Drosophila melanogaster: one gene and its partners. The protein of the gene in region 1 purifies or fractionates together with the protein of each later gene. This does not show direct contact. Each region holds a gene or a part of one and is shown in the gene's direction. Other genes may lie near its edges.

Region 1 (3,616 bases):
CAATGCAATGATATGGTTAATATATTATTTTATTTATTTACTTATATATTAAGGATTTTTTTTAATATCGTGCCAAAAATGATTTTAACAACTTTACTCTGATCAAATGTAGCGCATTCGTGTGTCGCTTCTGATCGATCTGATCCACTGACGATCTGATTCATGAATGCCTAACACGCATCGGAATGGAGTAATAGCGCAAATATAGGAAAAATGCCAGGGACCAGTACTTAGTTGTTGATATTCTTGGGCGTGGAACAGAGGTAAGTACTACTGACGCAGAGCTGCCTCAAGATAAACGTAATCAGCATGGAATTATCGTTCGCATGGCATTTTAAGAATCAATACATATCTCGCTTATAGGCACCATTAACTAAGGTGACGACGCCCTTCCTCAAGCAATACCATGTCAGTGTCCATTACAAAAAAGTTTTACAAGTTGGATATAAATCGAACGGAATGGGAGATCCCGGATATATACCAGGATCTGCAGCCCGTGGGATCGGGAGCTTACGGACAGGTGTCAAAGGCAGTTGTTCGTGGCACCAATATGCATGTGGCCATTAAAAAGCTTGCCAGGCCTTTTCAATCAGCTGTCCATGCAAAGAGGACGTACCGGGAGCTTCGACTTTTAAAGCATATGGATCATGAGAACGTAATCGGTCTGCTGGACATATTCCATCCACATCCCGCTAATGGATCGCTGGAGAACTTCCAACAGGTGTACTTGGTTACCCACTTGATGGACGCAGATCTGAACAACATCATACGGATGCAGCACTTGTCCGACGACCACGTCCAGTTTTTAGTCTACCAGATACTCCGTGGCTTGAAGTATATCCACAGCGCCGGAGTGATCCACCGTGATCTTAAGCCCTCAAACATTGCCGTCAACGAGGATTGCGAGCTGCGCATTCTAGACTTCGGGCTGGCCCGCCCAACGGAGAACGAGATGACAGGCTATGTGGCCACGCGTTGGTACCGGGCACCTGAAATAATGCTCAATTGGATGCACTACGACCAAACAGTGGACATCTGGTCGGTGGGCTGCATCATGGCCGAACTAATTACCAGACGAACCCTCTTCCCAGGCACCGACCATATTCACCAGCTAAACCTGATTATGGAGATGTTGGGCACGCCACCCGCCGAATTTTTGAAGAAGATCTCATCGGAAAGTGCACGTTCCTACATCCAGTCACTTCCGCCTATGAAGGGACGAAGTTTTAAAAATGTTTTTAAGAACGCCAATCCGCTGGCCATTGATTTGCTGGAAAAGATGTTGGAGCTAGATGCCGAAAAGCGGATCACAGCCGAGGAGGCTCTTTCCCATCCATATCTGGAGAAGTATGCGGAGCCCAGCGTCGAGCAGACCTCACCACCATACGATCACAGCTTCGAGGATATGGATTTGCCCGTAGACAAATGGAAGGAATTGATCTACAAGGAGGTCACCAACTTTAAGCCCCCACCATCGTATGCTCAGGTTCTAAAGGATGTAAAGTGAACACAAACCATCAAGAATTTAAAGTATTACATAGGCCAATTTATTTGTTATAGCCTTTATGTTCCAACCATGTCTTTTGTACTCAAATTTATCAATTCTTAGTGTTAACTTTTTATTTTGTTTTTTTGCTGCTTACTGCTTATTTAACAAAAAATTTGTTTTATAAAAACATCAAGTTATTCAACTAAAAACCTTATTTTTGTCACCTCTTGGGCAGGATCTTTGGGTCTATAGCATATGTGTGTATCTCCGGTCATACAGATGACTGAATCGAACAAGTTTAGTGTTCTGTCAGTCGAATGTGCACTGATAGATAAGGTGTTGAGAAAAGATAAGAGTTTAGCGGGTGACTAAATGCAAGCTCAGTTTTCTTTCTGTTTCCTTTCGTAGAAGACATATTTTTGCACATTTAATCCAGAATGCCGGAGTTCGTGAGAGTGGCAATTAACGAAAGCCTTTGGGAGTTCCCGGATATATACGAGTTCGTTCGTTTTCTGGGTGGCGGTTCCTTTGGCCAGGTGGCTAAGGTGAGACTACGAGGCACTGAAAATTACTTCGCTATGAAAAGGCTTATGCGCCCATTCGAGAGGGAGGAGGATGCTAAGGGTACCTATCGCGAGATCCGTCTGCTGAAGCACATGAATCATCGAAATGTTATCAGCCTGCTGAACGTCTTCCATCCACCAGCGCACAACATGATGGAATTTCAGCAGGTTTATTTGGTGACTCACCTGATGGACGCGGATTTGCACAGGTACTCGCGTTCGAAAAGGATGAGCGATCAAGAGATTAGGATAATCCTTTACCAAATACTGCGGGGACTGAAGTACATACATAGTGCCGGGGTTGTTCATCGAGACTTAAAGCCCTGCAATATCGCAGTTAATGGAAATAGCGAGGTGCGCATACTTGACTTCGGTTTATCCCGTATGTGCGCAGACAAAATGACGGACCATGTTGGAACTATGTGGTATCTAGCTCCGGAAATTATCTTTTTAAGGGGTCAATACACAAAGGCAATTGACGTGTGGTCGGTTGGTTGCATTCTGGCGGAACTTATCACGGATCGTGTCCTGTTTCGCGGTGAAAACTATGTAAGCCAAATACGATGTCTGATTAACATAATGGGTACTCCGACGAGGGAGTTTATCACCGGGATAAGCATGGAACGTTCGCGTAATTACCTGGAGGGGTACCCGTTACGACAAAGGTGCGATTTTCATCACCTGTTTATGGGTTACGATGTCCAGGCCATCGATTTGATGGAAAAAATGCTCGAAATGGTACCCGAAAAACGTATCACAGCTGCGGAAGCAATGCTCCATCCATACCTTCGGGATCTTATTGAGCCACACCATCATGCCGAAGACACCGCACCAGTCTATGATCAGAACTTCGAAAACATGGTACTGCCTGTAAAATGCTGGAAAGAACTTGTTTCCCACGAGATTCGGAACTTCAGACCTGACCAACTTGATTTGCATTTTTAAAATGCCGTAGTTAATGTAGCAGAAGTAATAAATTTTAAATTAATTAAATGAACAAATTTTTCACAAAATTAAATTAAAAACTGGATATTCATAAATTTAAACATTGAAATCATTGAAATACCCCTATTAAATCTTCCGGATCTGGCAGCGCTGGCGACAGCTGATTTTGCCTTACCGGCTTATTTTATTTTGCATTCGATAATAAAAATAATGTTGAGCCTGCGAAGTGTATTAAAACACTGCCTTTCGGCAAAGAAAACGTGTAGCAGAAACATCTCCGCGCTGTACATAACCGGCGATAAAGCGAACGAAAACTATGTGACTCTGCAGCCGTACATGGACTTCAATAAAACCTTTGGAGAGCGGCAATTTTTGGAGCAGAGCATCTCCAGCCGGGGATTGGACATTCGTTTGGAAACTGTGCTCAGCAAGTACGAGAAGTATAAAACACATCACGCTCAGCTGTCCAAGGTGGCGGAGGAACGCGAAAGGGTGACCAAGCGCCTAAAGGAGCTAACGAAATCTGGTAGTAGTGCGGTTCAGCTGGAGGAGTTGAAAGAGCATGGGAAATCGTTGCGCAATGAGCTAAAGGCTCTGAAGCAGACTCTCTATCCCATAG
Region 2 (4,871 bases), 3.8 Mb from region 1:
TCGCGGATGTCGCGGTGGCGAAGACCAAGTATCCCTTGAGGAGCAAGTACATCGGCTACGCCCAGCTCTGTCGATCGGTACTGCATCCAAGGGATAAACTCATTGCAGCCGGTTGGGGATTCGAAGGCGGCGTTTGGGATGAGTCCAGGAAGAAAACATTTCGCTCGATGAAAGTTGGTATTGTGAGTAAACGAGATTGCGAGAAGCAGCTGGATCGCAAGATGCCACCCAATATCATCTGTGCCGGTGCCTACAACAACAAGACTCTCTGCTTCGGCGACTCCGGTGGACCACTTCTGTTGGGGCGGCAAGTTTGTGGCATCAACACGTGGACTTTCAAATGCGGCAACAACGAAAAGCCAGACGTATACATGGGTGTGCGATACTACGCCAAGTTTATTAAAAGAACTATTAACAGAATGGGCTTTTGAAGAAATTTATTTGAGTATCACAAAATAAAAATACTGTCTATCTAAGTTTACAACTTAGTCATAAATTAAATTTTAAACTGGTATTAAGTGTGTGTGACTCGACAGACTTCATGTTATTCCATTTCAGCAGCGTTTTTTATTGTCAATCTCATGAAGCTGATAACCTAGATGTCTAAAATGACTAACTAAACCGCTTCCAATTATTCATGTAGATAAGTTTGGTTTGTTCAAGCTACGATTCTATGATTTACAAGGTTGTAATTGGAAAACAAAAATATACTGATTAAATAGCATATAATAAAATATATGTTCAATACTCAAACAACTAACTTTATATATTTCAATTACATTTTTACATTTGGCTACATTTCAATCTTGTACGTCCATGTACAATTCTACAAATCTGATTGAAGAATGCAGTTGTAGAATGTAGAATGTGGCGCTCTTTGCACCTTAGACTCACGTGCTGTTACCTCATTCTTCGACTCTCTTCTTTCTCTCCCCTCTCTCTATCTTTTCCCTAAGAATTCTCACCAGCTCAGCGAAGCGTAAGATGGGAGAGAAAGAATTGCATTGTTGGCGCCTAGCCGGTAAAAATCATACGATAAAGGGGAAAAGTCGGGAAAAGCGGGAAGACAAACACGCTGCTATGGAAAATATCTTGTTTTGTCCCACAGTTTCACTTAAACTAATGTATTTACGACCTCTGCTCTTCGCGCTCTCTGCACTTCGAGAAATCAGGGAAGATATTGCCGCAATTTTGGATAGTGATTCAAATAAATATACTCACTAATGAAGAGGAACTTAGCATGAATAAATGGTTCGGGTATTCATAGGTTTTCGAATGAAATTTGTTTTTATTGTTCATCATTTAAGAGGCATTGTTTTAAACATAACCAACGTTCTAATTAATAATCTTTATCTAAAGTATTGATGTAATTTGGGTCATGTATTAATGAAATGTTCCACCTGTAAAAAAAAAATAATAACCTGTTTAATAAAATAAACCTGTTTTATAGGGACTCTAAAAATGTATATACAGCTGTGCCCAAGATAACAGCAGCACGTTATTACAACTATAATATTTATAATTTTTAAGAGTAACAAAAGTTTCTTTGTAAAAACTTTTGTATTTTTAGAACTCTGATCTCTGATCATCTGTTTGATATGAAAAATTGTTATACTAAATTCAATACATCACCAAAACTATCTACAATATATTAATCTAAGATTGCAAACCATAATTTTATCATTTCTTATCATGCCAATTTGTAAAGGCATTTTTTTATAAATATTTTTCCGAGTGGAAAACTAATGCGGCCCCCTTTAACCGTAGAGCACAAATTCCCCAGCGGGTCGCGTTCGGTTTCTCGCCATTCATTCAGTTCACGTTGGATTCTCAAAGCGAACGCGTGTCGATCGTTCTGCTCACGAAAAGCTCTCCTCCGACTCTTCACCGGATTCAACCGAATGCGTGACCGATTGTGACTCAGATTCGGATTCAGATTCAGATTGATATAGTGGCTGATAATTGCTGATAGTGCGTGTGTGCGTCAGTGTGTTCAATTGAGTTAAGTTTGGCTGCCAAAAGTTACTAGTTCATTTGCGAAATGAGGGAAATTGTGCATCTGCAGGCGGGCCAGTGCGGCAATCAGATCGGTTCGAAGGTGCGTATAATTGATATTCCATCGGTGTTCGCATCACAGACCTTTGCTCTATTTTATAGCTACTTTTCGCTACTATCCTAACCTCACATGTTTAATTATAAAACAGGGGGAAATGAAGAAAGAGCGCTCTTTGCCTCTCTCACTGCGACTTTCTCTCTCTCTCTCTCTCTCTTGGCTTTTCACGTTTTGTTTTTAGTGGCCAGCAATTAAAATGGGTGGGGGGTTGGTGGGGGGTGGCATAGATTATTTTGCCAGTTCGGGAAACTATAAAACTGCAAAACATTGAAGAAACCTAACGTACTTGGCACTTATCTTATCGCTCGCAAGATACGAATATCAGCAACCTTAAAGTATCGCATTTAAATTACCTTGGACTCGCAGCATATCGCAGTGAATTAAACCCAGAAATCCGCTCGCAAACTAAGCAAAATCACCTCAGTCAGGTGTAAACAATTAGATCGCCGCTCAGTTGAGAGCTTGTGATCAGCCGGCTATGCAAATCTGCACAGCAAGAAAAAAAGTAGTACCTTTAAAAAGATAAATAAACTTTATATGATTATTTAATCGTTATAAAGTAGTTTCCATTTAAACACAATTATGATTTAAAATTGAATTACAGATCCTTTTTATTCATTTGTTATTATAGAATAGAAGTTGATATTTTTTTTTCAGTGTACCTGGAGGTTTCTCGTTTCAAGAAATCCGATCTGTGAACCAAGTATTTTTGGCGGGAACTCAGAGTAAAATGCGGCAGCTTAGTGCCCTGTTAGTAGCATTTTGAAACTGGCTCGAAGGTTTCTCAGAAACTTCCGTCTTTTGGACAATTAACACAACTAACTGGTTCTGTAAACTAGTACTTTTCACAGGCTTTTATGATGTTTGCCCTCGCACAGTTGGCTGATCTTACTGTCATAAAGAACTCGTCGAAGGTTTCGTGGGTACTTCTAATTACGACAGAGGGGCTTGTAAATAATGTATCTGTATCTTGAACCGATATATGTATCTGATTCATGGCTGACTGTGACAAAGTGGCGGGCTTATGTGTGCGCTGCTTTCACTATCGGCGGCCTCTAATCAGTGGGCTTGTTTACACAACTTTAAACATAAATACCCGAAAAGTAAGAACTGATATGGGTTGCGCCGAAAATAGCAATTACATAGTGTGTTCTGGTATTTTGAGTAGAAAAGCGGCAGCATGTTTGCGGGCAATTAGAGGAGTGGAAATGAAAACAGCGCCCATTCTAAGCTAATTCAGCGCATTAACATTAACTCGCACAATTTGCTGCGTCATGAAAATCCAGCTACAAAAAGTCGTTGACGTTTGACACAGTTTTTGTTTTTATAATGCTTATTTTTTTTATATGTTTTTGTCTTTTTCCCGGCATTTCCCAGAGCAGTTTTCTCTGACCGTTTCTCTTTGCGCTCGCATTGCGCGCTTTTCCTCTTGAGTTTTATGCAAACACATTTCCACATATTTTAAAGTACTTTTTTGCGTGTTTTCACCACTGCCTTTTGCAGTTAATTAGAACGCACTTTTCCGGGATAAGCCAAGCCCAACATCCGATTTTGTACGCCCCCGAATCAGAGCATTATTACATCCATATTTTGCGGCCATTGTTATGTGTAGCTATTGTGCAGTTAAAAAATAAATACGATTATTTATGCAATTTGCGCTTATCGAATTTTTATAGATGGCATAAAGCCTGTTTGTTGGTGCATTAAATTTGAATATAATAATGGCGAACATATTTTGTTGCATGTCCTATTCATGCTCTTGTGTTGTTTTTTTTTTTTTTTTTTTTTTTTGCACACTGCCCGATTTTGTGCCTTAATTGAATGTCCTTTTCTGATTAATTGGCTGTCAGTATGAAATATTGTTGCAGCCTAGAATAAACAAATAATAAATGTGCAAAACTGCCTACGTGGCAAAATAGTTTGCACAATGGTGAATGGCGTAAATGGTGAATGTGATTTTTAAATAAATTTTCAAAACTAATTGCTCCGCTGATAAAGGCCAATAAGCAAATAAAAAAAAAAAACTTAACAGATTGATTACACATTAAGAGCAGAGCTTATTCACACATGAACGGGCTGCAAACAGAATGGATTGTAATTATAAAAACAGAGCTTAACAATTGAAATCCCGGCAGCGTACGCATGTTTTGTAAACATAATGTTTTCATTGAATCACGTTAAGTTCAATTCGATTTTAAGGCAGACAGCAATTTAAGCCATTCTCTTGGCTTCGATTAAATATGGCAAAATGCCGTCGAAAACGTCTTCCGGCCTTCCTCTGCCAACACCACGAAATTGATCACATATGTATGTATGTATGTATCGAGCGAGGCAAAGGCATCTATCCAAGGATATTTTGGCCTGCAGCTAGAGTTCGTTTTTCTTTTTCTTCATTATTTACATAAACCTAATTTTCCCTAAATCATTTTGTGAACAATAACAAGGAAAATCTATTTACGGGCACGGCATAAAGCCGAAGGAAAAGCGTTGTGCCACCATGGCGGAGAAATTTATAGACGAGCAGAACGTAGAAAATGGGAGCAAAAGGGGAAAGCGGAGAAAGTCAAGCAAGAACAGACAATAAAATTAAAGAGTGGAATAAGCCAGGCTGCAACGGCTCCTTTTAGCCAGTGTGGCATGCAGTGTGGCACACCCATATAGTCTGCCCCAGGATACGTTTGTTTGGCCCATAATGGCAGGGCATCATCGAGCAGCGCCAAAATAATGCACAAAATTGAATTATCGATGACGCTCGCTG
Region 3 (4,780 bases), about 15 Mb from region 1:
TAGCCACAACGCACACTTGAGCCCCAGCACTACCAACAGAAATAACATATAAAAATGTTTGTATAATTAAACGCCATTTTAAACAAATAAACGCGCGTCGTCAGTCGTTGATGCAGATTTTGTTGTTGCTGTTTCTGTTGGTCGCGCTTCGGTTTTTGTGTCGTCGCATTTTTAATTAGCAATGAAATCATAATAAAATAAAACATCTCATGCATAATTGAGTTGCAAGTTGGGGCTTCATTGCCATGCCATTATGAAAAAAAAAAAACAAAACTGGCTCAGGTATTCATAAGTAACTAAAACTGCTTCGTGGGTACGGACTCGTTTAGATAGGTCTTAGGTGGAACAAATTTAAATTAACGATTCATAAGCGCAGTAGAGTGAGTTATTATTAGCATCGCGGTACGGCAGGATTTCTCAACATTTTAAATTGGCCAGCATTATGTCGAACTCAACGGATTAAGTAATCAGTATAATCAGTATTATAGTAACAAATAAAATAGGTAGCTGTAAGATCCTAAATATAAGGTGTAGGTACCGAGTTTTCGCAGACCTTCTAACCTCATACACACACACGGGATCCTTTCTTATAGGGGGCCTGCTTTCAAAACTATTTCTGCGGACTCCTGTAATTCATCCTGTCGTCTGCTTTCCATTATTACACGTTCTCAACGCTCACAAGATTGCTTCAAACCGATCTGTCTCTATCCCACATCTGCCTGCCCCGGTATCGTTTTGATATGTGAATGCCTAACACGATCCACGCTTTTGAAAGATCCGCCCAGTCCAACCCGAATCCCGCCACGCCCCTTTTTTCCACCAATCTCGCAAGATGCCTTGCTCGTTTTGTAAATAGCTTTTTTGAAGACGAAAGATCAAGACAAATCAAATCAAATCGATCCAATTTAAATGTTTGTGCCTATCTAAATGTGTGTGTGTTTTACTACTCGAAAAATGCATTGCCACTCTGACAACTGTATCTATATCTACAAGTTTAATGCGAAGAACATACCTATATATTGCCTAAATGTTTACTGTATGTATATTTATTATTGCTGCATAATTCACTCATAAATATTTTTTTCTTTTTCTTTTTTCATATAAACGTTAAAAAAAAAAACTCGCACATTCCACCACAAAACCACCAAACAAAAACTAAAAATAAAAAACTAAATGAAATTAAAACTGAAACATAGAAGGATCGTAAATAGAGTATCAATATATGTGCATATGCATATATAGCGACGTACACGAACTGTCTCTGTCACTGATAGCGATCGATAGCTGTACCTCCATGTGTGTGCATGAGTGGCAGCATCAGTAGCGTACCCAAGGACCAAGGACCTCATCCACATAGCCCATCAATCTCACAGATGCCAGTGGCGGATTCCCCCCGATAAAGGCATCGAATCGAATTACATCGCATCCATTGGACGAGGACGAGGACTAGGACTAAAGGACAGTGACTGACGCATCCTGCGCTCGTTTGATCGTTCGTTCGCTCGCTCGCTCGCTCTATCGCTCTTTCGCTCGCACGCACCAAAAAAACCAAACAGAAATACCAGAAACAATACCAAGCAAGCCAAAAACCAAATAATACAAAGCTAAACAGACGCCTCATTACCAAACATCGAACGTTTCGTTGTCGTTTAACAAAAAAAAAAAAAAAAAAAACCAGAAGCACAGCAACCAAATTCAATTCAATCAAATCAAGTCCAAGCCAATCCAATCCAATCCAAGATCCAATTAAATTAAATCAAGCCGAATCCACGAGACATAGAAACTGAAAAGTAAACAGTAAGATCAACAGATCAACGAAACCCAAAGCAAAAAGCTAAAGCAATCATCAGTCAAAGTCGATAACCAAAACCAGCAACATTCAGTTAAAAATGGCCGAAGACGCTACCATGGAGACATGTCCAAGTCCTGAAACCGGCGACTCACGCAAAAGGCCACTCGATTCCGATCCGGAAAATGAACAAACTAAACGCTCACATTTCAGTTCCGGTAAGTTGACCAAAATCCAATCCAAATCCAAATCAAAATTCAAAATCAAATTCAAATTCAAATCGAAATCAATATCGAAATCGAAACTCAATTCATTTCGCCAGCAGAAGGAAGAAATTGAAATATATATCTCAAATCGCTCTTGCATATCCCCATTATCGTGCTCTCTCTTTTTCTCTCTGTCAATCTCAATCTCGATCTCAATCTCAGTTTCAATATCAATCTTAAGCTCCTCAACTCGACGCTCTGTGTATATCTATCTCTCGTTCGTTATCTATTTATCTATCCATTGCTTTTTTATCTCCGAAGCGTATAAATAACTGATTCAATTTGTTTGCCCAACTTTTCTGCCGATCGTGCCGTTTCCCTTCTTTATTATGTGGTCATGTTGTTGTTGTTGTTGTTGTTATCACAATATATCCCCCCGATATGCGTACCTACATATATCTATGTATATATATACTTAGTATCTATGATTTTCTTACTTTTTTCTTTTAGTCGTTTGTCGCTCGTGTTATTTATTGTTGCTGTTGTCGTTTGTTATTCAGATTCAATTAATCAGCACGAGAAATTCATTTGCAGTTTGCCCCCAATACGTTCGATGTCAGTTTTGCAACCGAACAAACGAACCAACGAACGAACGAACAGGCAGCAGACTTTGATTCGTAATTAAGCCAGATATGGCGTATACGCCCCGAGGGCCCCCTCTACACGTACACAGCTACAGTGTACATCTTAAAATGACAACTGGCATCTGTTATATGGCATACAGCGGTATCTAGTACCTAGTGTAGTATCTGCCTGGCTGGCGGCTGTATCTTTGCGCAGGATTTGGCGCCGAGACATTGTGGGCCCAGTTTGACCCAATTTTGGGCATGACCTCCGCCTGCAATCTCCTGCAGCTTCATCAATGGCCTGCAATTAGATACAAGTGCTGTCCGTGCACGTCCCTGAACGTCCAAACGAATGGCATTTGAAAAGCTCCTCCCTGCTTCACTCATCCGACAAACTGAACTGCAGTCGGGACAGCCGAGGGGGTCACAAAAATTCATATGGAGATTAGCATTTAAAAGAAGAAGCTCCCAATCCGTGAGCTCCATTGCCAAACCCATACTGCCTGTCTGTCAGTCAGTCTGTCGGTCAGTCGGTCTGACCACAAGCTATTAACTAGTTGCTTTGCATGATTTGTTCGGCTCAAAACCAGCTGGCAAGCTCCAAGGTGAGCATGCCACTACGCAATCGAAGTACCTGTCGTCATAGCCACGAAAATAGCAAAAGGTGTAAGTGTTAGAGTCGCACTGTCGCCCCCGCTGGCTTTTGGTATTTAGACGGATAGCAGTGGCTAGAGCCAGAAGCGTGTAAACGTGTTTTCGAGTTTCCTAATTGTCAATTGGAAATTATGAAGGGTAGATTAGTCCTCGGTTTTCGTTCATCACAGCAGGCTCTCTCAAATACGTCAAGTGTTAAAATCCCAAAAAAAAAAATATCTACAGAAAATAAAACAAAATTCCAGTGTTGTCTTAATGTTGCATCAAAAATTTTAAGTTTTATCTCGTGAATTGGAATGCGGAAGCTTTGTTCGAGTAAGTTCAAGTTCGTTAAATAGGCAAATATAACTTATTTCCATATACTCCACTCCATTCATTAAAGCAGACACTATATTATATGCTCGGGGACATCCATAGTTAATGGGTTAGTTCTGCCTAAGAATTTGTTTGCTTATGAACAATGCCATTTTATCAGCTGTTTGTTTGGCCAGTTTCCATTCAAACCGATGGCATTATAGATGAGCCCAGATAAATAGATTCGTTACATGTATGTGTACAGCTGGGCATTTGTAATTAATTAGCCACCATTGAGGCTGCCTGTTTGCTGGACAGAGAACAGGTCCATGTCATATGGTTTTGGGTATTTACTCACGTCGTCGTTTTATTAGTTTTCTGGCAATTTATTTGCTTAGCTGCCTTGACAGTCATTTGTTTTTTGTGTGCTATCTATTTAATTTTTTCAGTTTTTTCTTATTTATGACTGTCATGGCTGGAATTCTGTGTAGCTGGTTGGTGAGAGAGCAGCGCAAAGTTTTTGAGATGCACAGAGAAAAATAATCTTCTTAAATTCTAATAAGTATTTAAGGTGTAAGGTTTTAAAGTTTAATCCAAAGAAGTTAGGAAATTCAAACAACTTTTTGTCAACAATTCTTTTAAGCAAGAATTCAACTCTTTACCATATACTTAATTTTTTTTTGACTTATTGTTTTCCGTGTAGCCTGGACTAGAAATGCGTCAGTTGGCGGGGCTGCTGCAAAGGAAATGCAGTAAAATCGAGGAAAATCGGGGCGGTGGGTCAGCGTGGAGGTTTTGGACGACTGGTGGCGTGGCTTATGTAATCAGTACTGGCAGGGCAGCTGGAAAAGCGTGCGAATAGTTGGGGGTGTATACTGTAGCGAACTCTAGTTCGCCGTAAGAGAGAGAAGCGAGAGCTGCTCTCGGCAAACGTTGACAGCATGGCAAGCGGTTGACCTACTTTGATGACAATGCGGGTGCGTACGTGTATCTGTATCTGTATCTGTGTGTGCCTGTGGTCGCTCCGCTGCCATCGCTGCTTGCCTGCCTGCCTTTGCTCGGTGCTTTTCGTCTAGGAAGGGTCCTGCGCAGTAGGACGACTCGAACTCCTCGAACGCGGCGACCATTCAGCTGCACTGCAGCATTTGGCGCCATTGCAGCTGCCACAGCAGCCGATGCAGCCGCAGCAGCCGCAAACGCAGCAGCAACGT
Region 4 (5,047 bases), about 15 Mb from region 1:
TTTTCTTCACCAACTTTACTTCCTACCTTCAGGACGATACATTTTTCCGAGTTTTCTACTTCATGACACCCTCTACGACTAGCCATCCGTTATCTATGTGCCAATGGATGCTAAACCCATTTTTGTCCAATCCCAACAGTCTTTGCATCCTATGCGGAGAAAAGGATTCACATGCTGGAGCGGCACAGGGAGAACCTGACTGCCATCGAGCGGAGTGAGTGCATGCTGTGCCGCCAGCCCTTCTCCAGCGAACCGGATTTGATCCACCACATGTCCGCGGAGCACTTGCAGCGTCCTGGCGCTCCCATCATAGCGAACAACAAACGGGTGCTGCAACAGAAGCGGGAACGCCAGTACTCCGGACTCTTTCAGTGCGGCAGCTGCAGCCAGAGGTTCAACATGAAGTCCGCTCTGGAGCGGCACGCTGCCGTGCATTCCGAGAAGGATCGACCGCACGCCTGCCCGCACTGTTCCAAGCGGTTCAAGCGCGCCCAGGACATGAAGTGGCACATCAAGACCCACGAGAAGGAGAAGCCCAATGTGTGCGATGTTTGCGGCAAGGCATTCGCCCTCAAGTATGTGCTCACCCAGCATCGCTTGAGTCACGAGGGTAAGGATGTCCACATGTACATATGTATTATTAGAAACATGTAATACATCAATCTTTTACAGTCTTGGAGAAGAACTTCAAGTGCAACGTTTGCGGTCGAGCCTATCTGTTTGAGAAGTCATTGCGGCTGCATCAGCGAACTCACACGGGCAAAACCTACTACAAATGCGATCTCTGTCAGGAAAGATTTGTCACGCACATTAAGCTCAAGAGTATGTATGCGAAATCACTCAATGATGCCCTTCCATATAGATGAACATCACTTCCAGCTCACATGCAAAAGGCACACGCCGCCTCTCAGCCGCACTCGGCGGACCAGCCTCTGGACGATCTGATCAACATTGTGATTTCCTAACCAAGTGGAACAGCAAACAGCATAGATTTCTGTTGTAGCCAAGCACAGTGCAGAAACTGCAATGCATTGGAGCGTAGCTCCCGAAACTCAAGCTTACATAGACCATATACATACATGTACCCTCCATCCAATTACACTTACTAGACCATATGCACACACGCAGCGATCTCTGGAACGTGAAAGTGCTTAGAGCTTTATTTAGTGGATATTCCGTAGGGCATAAACCATATAGCTATATCTCTGTCCATTTCTTCGATCGGTCCCTAAGGCACTCCAGCCGCATATCTCTTTCTAACTCTGAGCCATATTAATCTCACAGAACGCCTTTAAACACTACCAGCACATACATACATATATCCATTTGACCACTTAGCGATAAGAAATAAGCAATGAGAACATACAAGATGTTATACGAGCAATCTAAGCTTCGCGGCGAACTTTTAATGCTCAAGAAATGCATTTATTTCCAGATGAAACCGATAAGTATTTACAATAATTACCGAAAATGTATAAGAATATTTAAAATATCAATATACTATGGATTTTATTATGTGTAGTTGCAGATATATTTACCAAATTCATGTTCCGAATAAACATTCATGTGACCAAAGTTTGAATTGCCGTTACTTTTTTAGTTGGGCGGCAGAAATCGATTGGTTTAGACAGCTTTTTGCAATGATTGCAGAACTAGCTTTAAAATAGCGTCAAAAAGCTAGTTCTACTTTAATGACTTGTGTAGTGCGATCTAAATAATTTACTTCATTTATTATGAAATTTCTTTTGATCAGTTGTAGCTAGACAACAGCCAAAAGCTGCCAGCACTGCCGTCGCCCACATCCGATAGTTGCGACTCGTGACTGCGTGAAGAACCAGTGACTTGTATCACCTGCGGCCAAAATTCGCCCATCCCTAGAGAACGTGAACACGTCAGTTTTTAGTTTATAATATTTATAAGCGAAAAGTTCAGTGCACAGCGGTCGCGATTCCGAACTAGAAGTGGCTGCAATGCCCATGGGGAGTACCATCTAAACTCCATAACACACAGACAGTCAAAACAATCAGCTGACCAAGTCAGAAATTACCGAATAATCATCGCAGACGGCGCCGCAAGTTTACCAAAAACGGACGCAAAATCCATAACAGCGAGCTGAAAATAAAGCCGCCAGTGAAAGTTGATGTGCAGGAGGGGAAGCGGTGCGACCGTAGAGATTAGAAGCTGCCACGCCAAGCAGATTCGACGTGCGTGTCGATTGGGAATCAACTCCAAATCACGCCCACACTGGTTTTTTGCGGGGGCATCTAAGTACACGTAGCCATCGTCATGGCCTTGCCATTGAGTGACCTGCTCATGATCGGCGGCGGCGAGAAGAAATTGGCTGCCTGCCTGGTGCTGCTCCTGCTGGAGCTCTTCCTGGAAGGTACGTACTTCAAATCCTTATCTTCGAAGGCATCTGAAATACACGTCATTGTTTCTCGCTCAGGCGCCGAGTCGACGGCCAGTCCAGCGGATATTGAGAACCATCTGGAGCTGGGCAAGGAGTTCCTCGCCCGCGGACAGCTGTCGGATGCACTGACGCACTACCATGCAGCTGTTGGTAAATATAACTGGCTTGTACACACGAAAGAATCGGAATATCTATGACAATACATTTATATTCTTTAATTCACGTGAATTTACATAACATCGCGTTCAAAAGTGTCCATTGGCAACGAATCTAAATATTTTATAAAGATTTTAATTATTTTTGATTAACAAATCATAGAATCGTATGGTTTAAAACATAACCATGTTTTGCAAATGCCAAGGTCAATAAACAAACTTGTATCTTTTGTCTTGAATTTGATGATAACATTAATTTGGTAAACTTTTGTTTAGGACTACATTCATTTGTGCTAGGATATTTTTTAGCCTTTCTATGCCCTCGTCATTGATTTAACCATTATCATTTTCACAGAGGGCGATGCCAACAACTATCTGACGCTTTTCAAGCGCGGCACCGTCTATTTGGCGCTGGGCAAGACGCGCTTTGCCGTCCAGGATTTCAGCAGGGTGCTGGAACTGAAGCCAGACTTTATGGCCGCCCGAATCCAGCGGGGTGTTGTGCACATGAAGAGCGGAGAGTACGAGCAAGCGATCCAGGACTTTGATCAAGTCCTTCAAGAGGAACCCAACAACGGCTTGGTGCTGGAGCACTATTCCCGCTTGGCACCCGCCCAGGAGCAGTGGGTCCTTGTACAGCAGCTGATCCAATACAGTGATCACCAAAACGCCATCCCCATGATCACACAGTTGCTAGAGATCTCGCCGTGGGCTGTGCCCTTCCGGCAGGCTCGCTCTGATGCCTACATTGCAATCAATGATCCACTGTTAGCCATTGCTGACTTGCGACAGGTGAACCGACTCACCCAGGACAGCACTGAGGGTCACTACAAGATTGCACAGCTGCTGTACACAATTGGCCACGCCACAAATGCCTTAAAAGAGATCCGCGAGTGCCTGAAGTTCGACCCGGAACACAAGCTCTGCTTCCCCTTCTACAAGAAACTACGAAAGGTGGAAAAGCAGCTGGTTAACGCAGAGCAAGCGCGTGAGGAGAAGCATTTTGCCGAGTGCATAGCCGCCGGAGAGGCAGTCCTGCGTAACGAGCCGGAGGAGACGATGATCCGGTATGAGGGACACAAGGTGCTCTGCACTTGCTACACGGGCGACGAGCAGTTTGGCAAGGCTTTGCAACAGTGCAAGGAGGCACTGGATATTATGAAGGATGCTCAGGTCTACTGTGATCGTGCTGACGCATTGCTGGGCACCGAAATGTACGACGATGCCATACACTCCTTCCAAGCAGCTCTCGACCTGGAAGAGAGCAACACCCGCGCTAAAGAAGGCATCCAGAGGGCAAAGAAGCTGCAGAAGCAGTCAGAGCGCAGGGATTACTATAAGATATTAGGCGTTAAGCGTAGCGCCAGCAAACAGGAGATTGTGAAGGCCTACAGGAAGGCGGCGCAAAAGTGGCATCCGGACAACTTCCGCGACGAGGAAAAGAAGGTGGCCGAGAAAAAGTTTATTGACATTGCCGCAGCCAAGGAGGTTCTCACGGATCCCGAGAAGCGTCGTCAATTCGACAACGGCGAGGATCCATTAGATCCTGAGAGCAATCAGCGTGGCGGCTTCCATGGCGAACATCCGTTTGGACACTTCCAACACGGGTCGCCGTTCCAGTTCAAGTTCCACTTCAATTAGTCAGCCAGCAGCCATTTGCTTTGTGATGTCCTAGCCGCGATCCCCGATATCCTTTAACGATTTTACACTGTTTTGTTCATTTAAATGGCGTGTAAATAGTAGCATAAAGCATAAATAAACCCATGGTCCGTTGTCAGAGAGTACCACAAACAAACACAAATCGCAACAAAACACACTGAGCACTTACATTTAATTAGTTTATTTAATACAATACAATAATTATAATGTAGTACATTTTTCTAATTATGTATAAAAAGAAACAATATGCGAGAACAAGCAATTAAAGACTTGGCAAATTGAGTTGAATATTTGTTAGTTTTGAACATGTTTGGAATTGAAGTAGTAGTCTTAAGGTGCAAAGTCGTCATAAATATTCCTTCGCTGTAGTCTGTGGTTGAAATGCGTGGAGTAACCAAAACCAAATGTATTCCGCGATATGAACGCTTCTCAGGCGTTGGGTGTCAATACCACGTACACCATGGTGGCCAGCATCACTGACACTACCAATATTAAGTAGAATTTGAGATTATATTTTTGATCCAATGACACCGCCAGTGCACGGAACTGCGCCATAGGCGAAACCTGATCGTGGTGTCTTACCAGAGGTTTTCTAGCCAGCGGCGAGAAGCGATTCTTTTGGAAATGGCTATTGATGGGTACTTCCTCGACTTCGGACTCGCTCTCCGTCTCCATGGGTTCGCCTGCGTCATTCGGCTGATCGTAGAATTCATTTAGTTGTGGATATAGAGTGTTTACTGCGGTGGTCGGCTGGAGCAGGCGACCACGGGCCAGATTGGATCCACTAACTGGAACACTCTGTCGCTGGCGAATGGGTGCTGGA

What was found.
Region 2: the proteins of p38c (region 1) and betaTub97EF purify together in Drosophila melanogaster (affinity purification with mass spectrometry, with the first as the bait; one large-scale study listed by BioGRID). This does not show direct contact.
Region 3: the proteins of p38c (region 1) and ps purify together in Drosophila melanogaster (affinity purification with mass spectrometry, with the first as the bait; one large-scale study listed by BioGRID). This does not show direct contact.
Region 4: the proteins of p38c (region 1) and P58IPK purify together in Drosophila melanogaster (affinity purification with mass spectrometry, with the first as the bait; one large-scale study listed by BioGRID). This does not show direct contact.

What each region holds. Positions count from the first base shown.
Region 1 is NT_033777.3:24,148,493-24,152,108, reverse strand, and holds p38c (p38c MAP kinase), read left to right. Parts: upstream 1-1,905; 5' UTR 1,906-1,926; coding exon 1,927-2,997; 3' UTR 2,998-3,089; downstream 3,090-3,616. Other genes in the region: p38a MAP kinase, read left to right, coding at 407-1,507; Slimp (Seryl-tRNA synthetase-like insect mitochondrial protein), read left to right, coding at 3,208-3,616. UniProt on the Drosophila melanogaster protein: Kinase involved in a signal transduction pathway.
Region 2 is NT_033777.3:27,985,326-27,990,196, reverse strand, and holds the start of betaTub97EF (beta-Tubulin at 97EF), read left to right. Parts: upstream 1-1,812; 5' UTR 1,813-2,041; coding exon 2,042-2,098; intron 2,099-4,871. Other genes in the region: CG4815 (uncharacterized protein), read left to right, coding at 1-431.
Region 3 is NT_033777.3:9,430,833-9,435,612, forward strand, and holds the start of ps (pasilla), read left to right. Parts: upstream 1-1,769; 5' UTR 1,770-1,889; coding exon of another isoform or gene 1,890-2,007; intron 2,008-3,433; exon of another isoform or gene 3,434-3,571; coding exon of another isoform or gene 3,572-3,590; intron 3,591-4,780. UniProt on the Drosophila melanogaster protein: Functions to regulate alternative splicing in neurons by binding pre-mRNA in a sequence-specific manner to activate exon inclusion.
Region 4 is NT_033777.3:9,585,077-9,590,123, forward strand, and holds P58IPK (P58IPK), read left to right. Parts: upstream 1-1,865; 5' UTR 1,866-2,286; coding exon 2,287-2,383; intron 2,384-2,446; coding exon 2,447-2,560; intron 2,561-2,920; coding exon 2,921-4,206; 3' UTR 4,207-4,505; downstream 4,506-5,047. Other genes in the region: CG8301 (uncharacterized protein), read left to right, coding at 140-610, 673-822, 880-965; bocks (bocksbeutel), read right to left, coding at 4,654-5,047.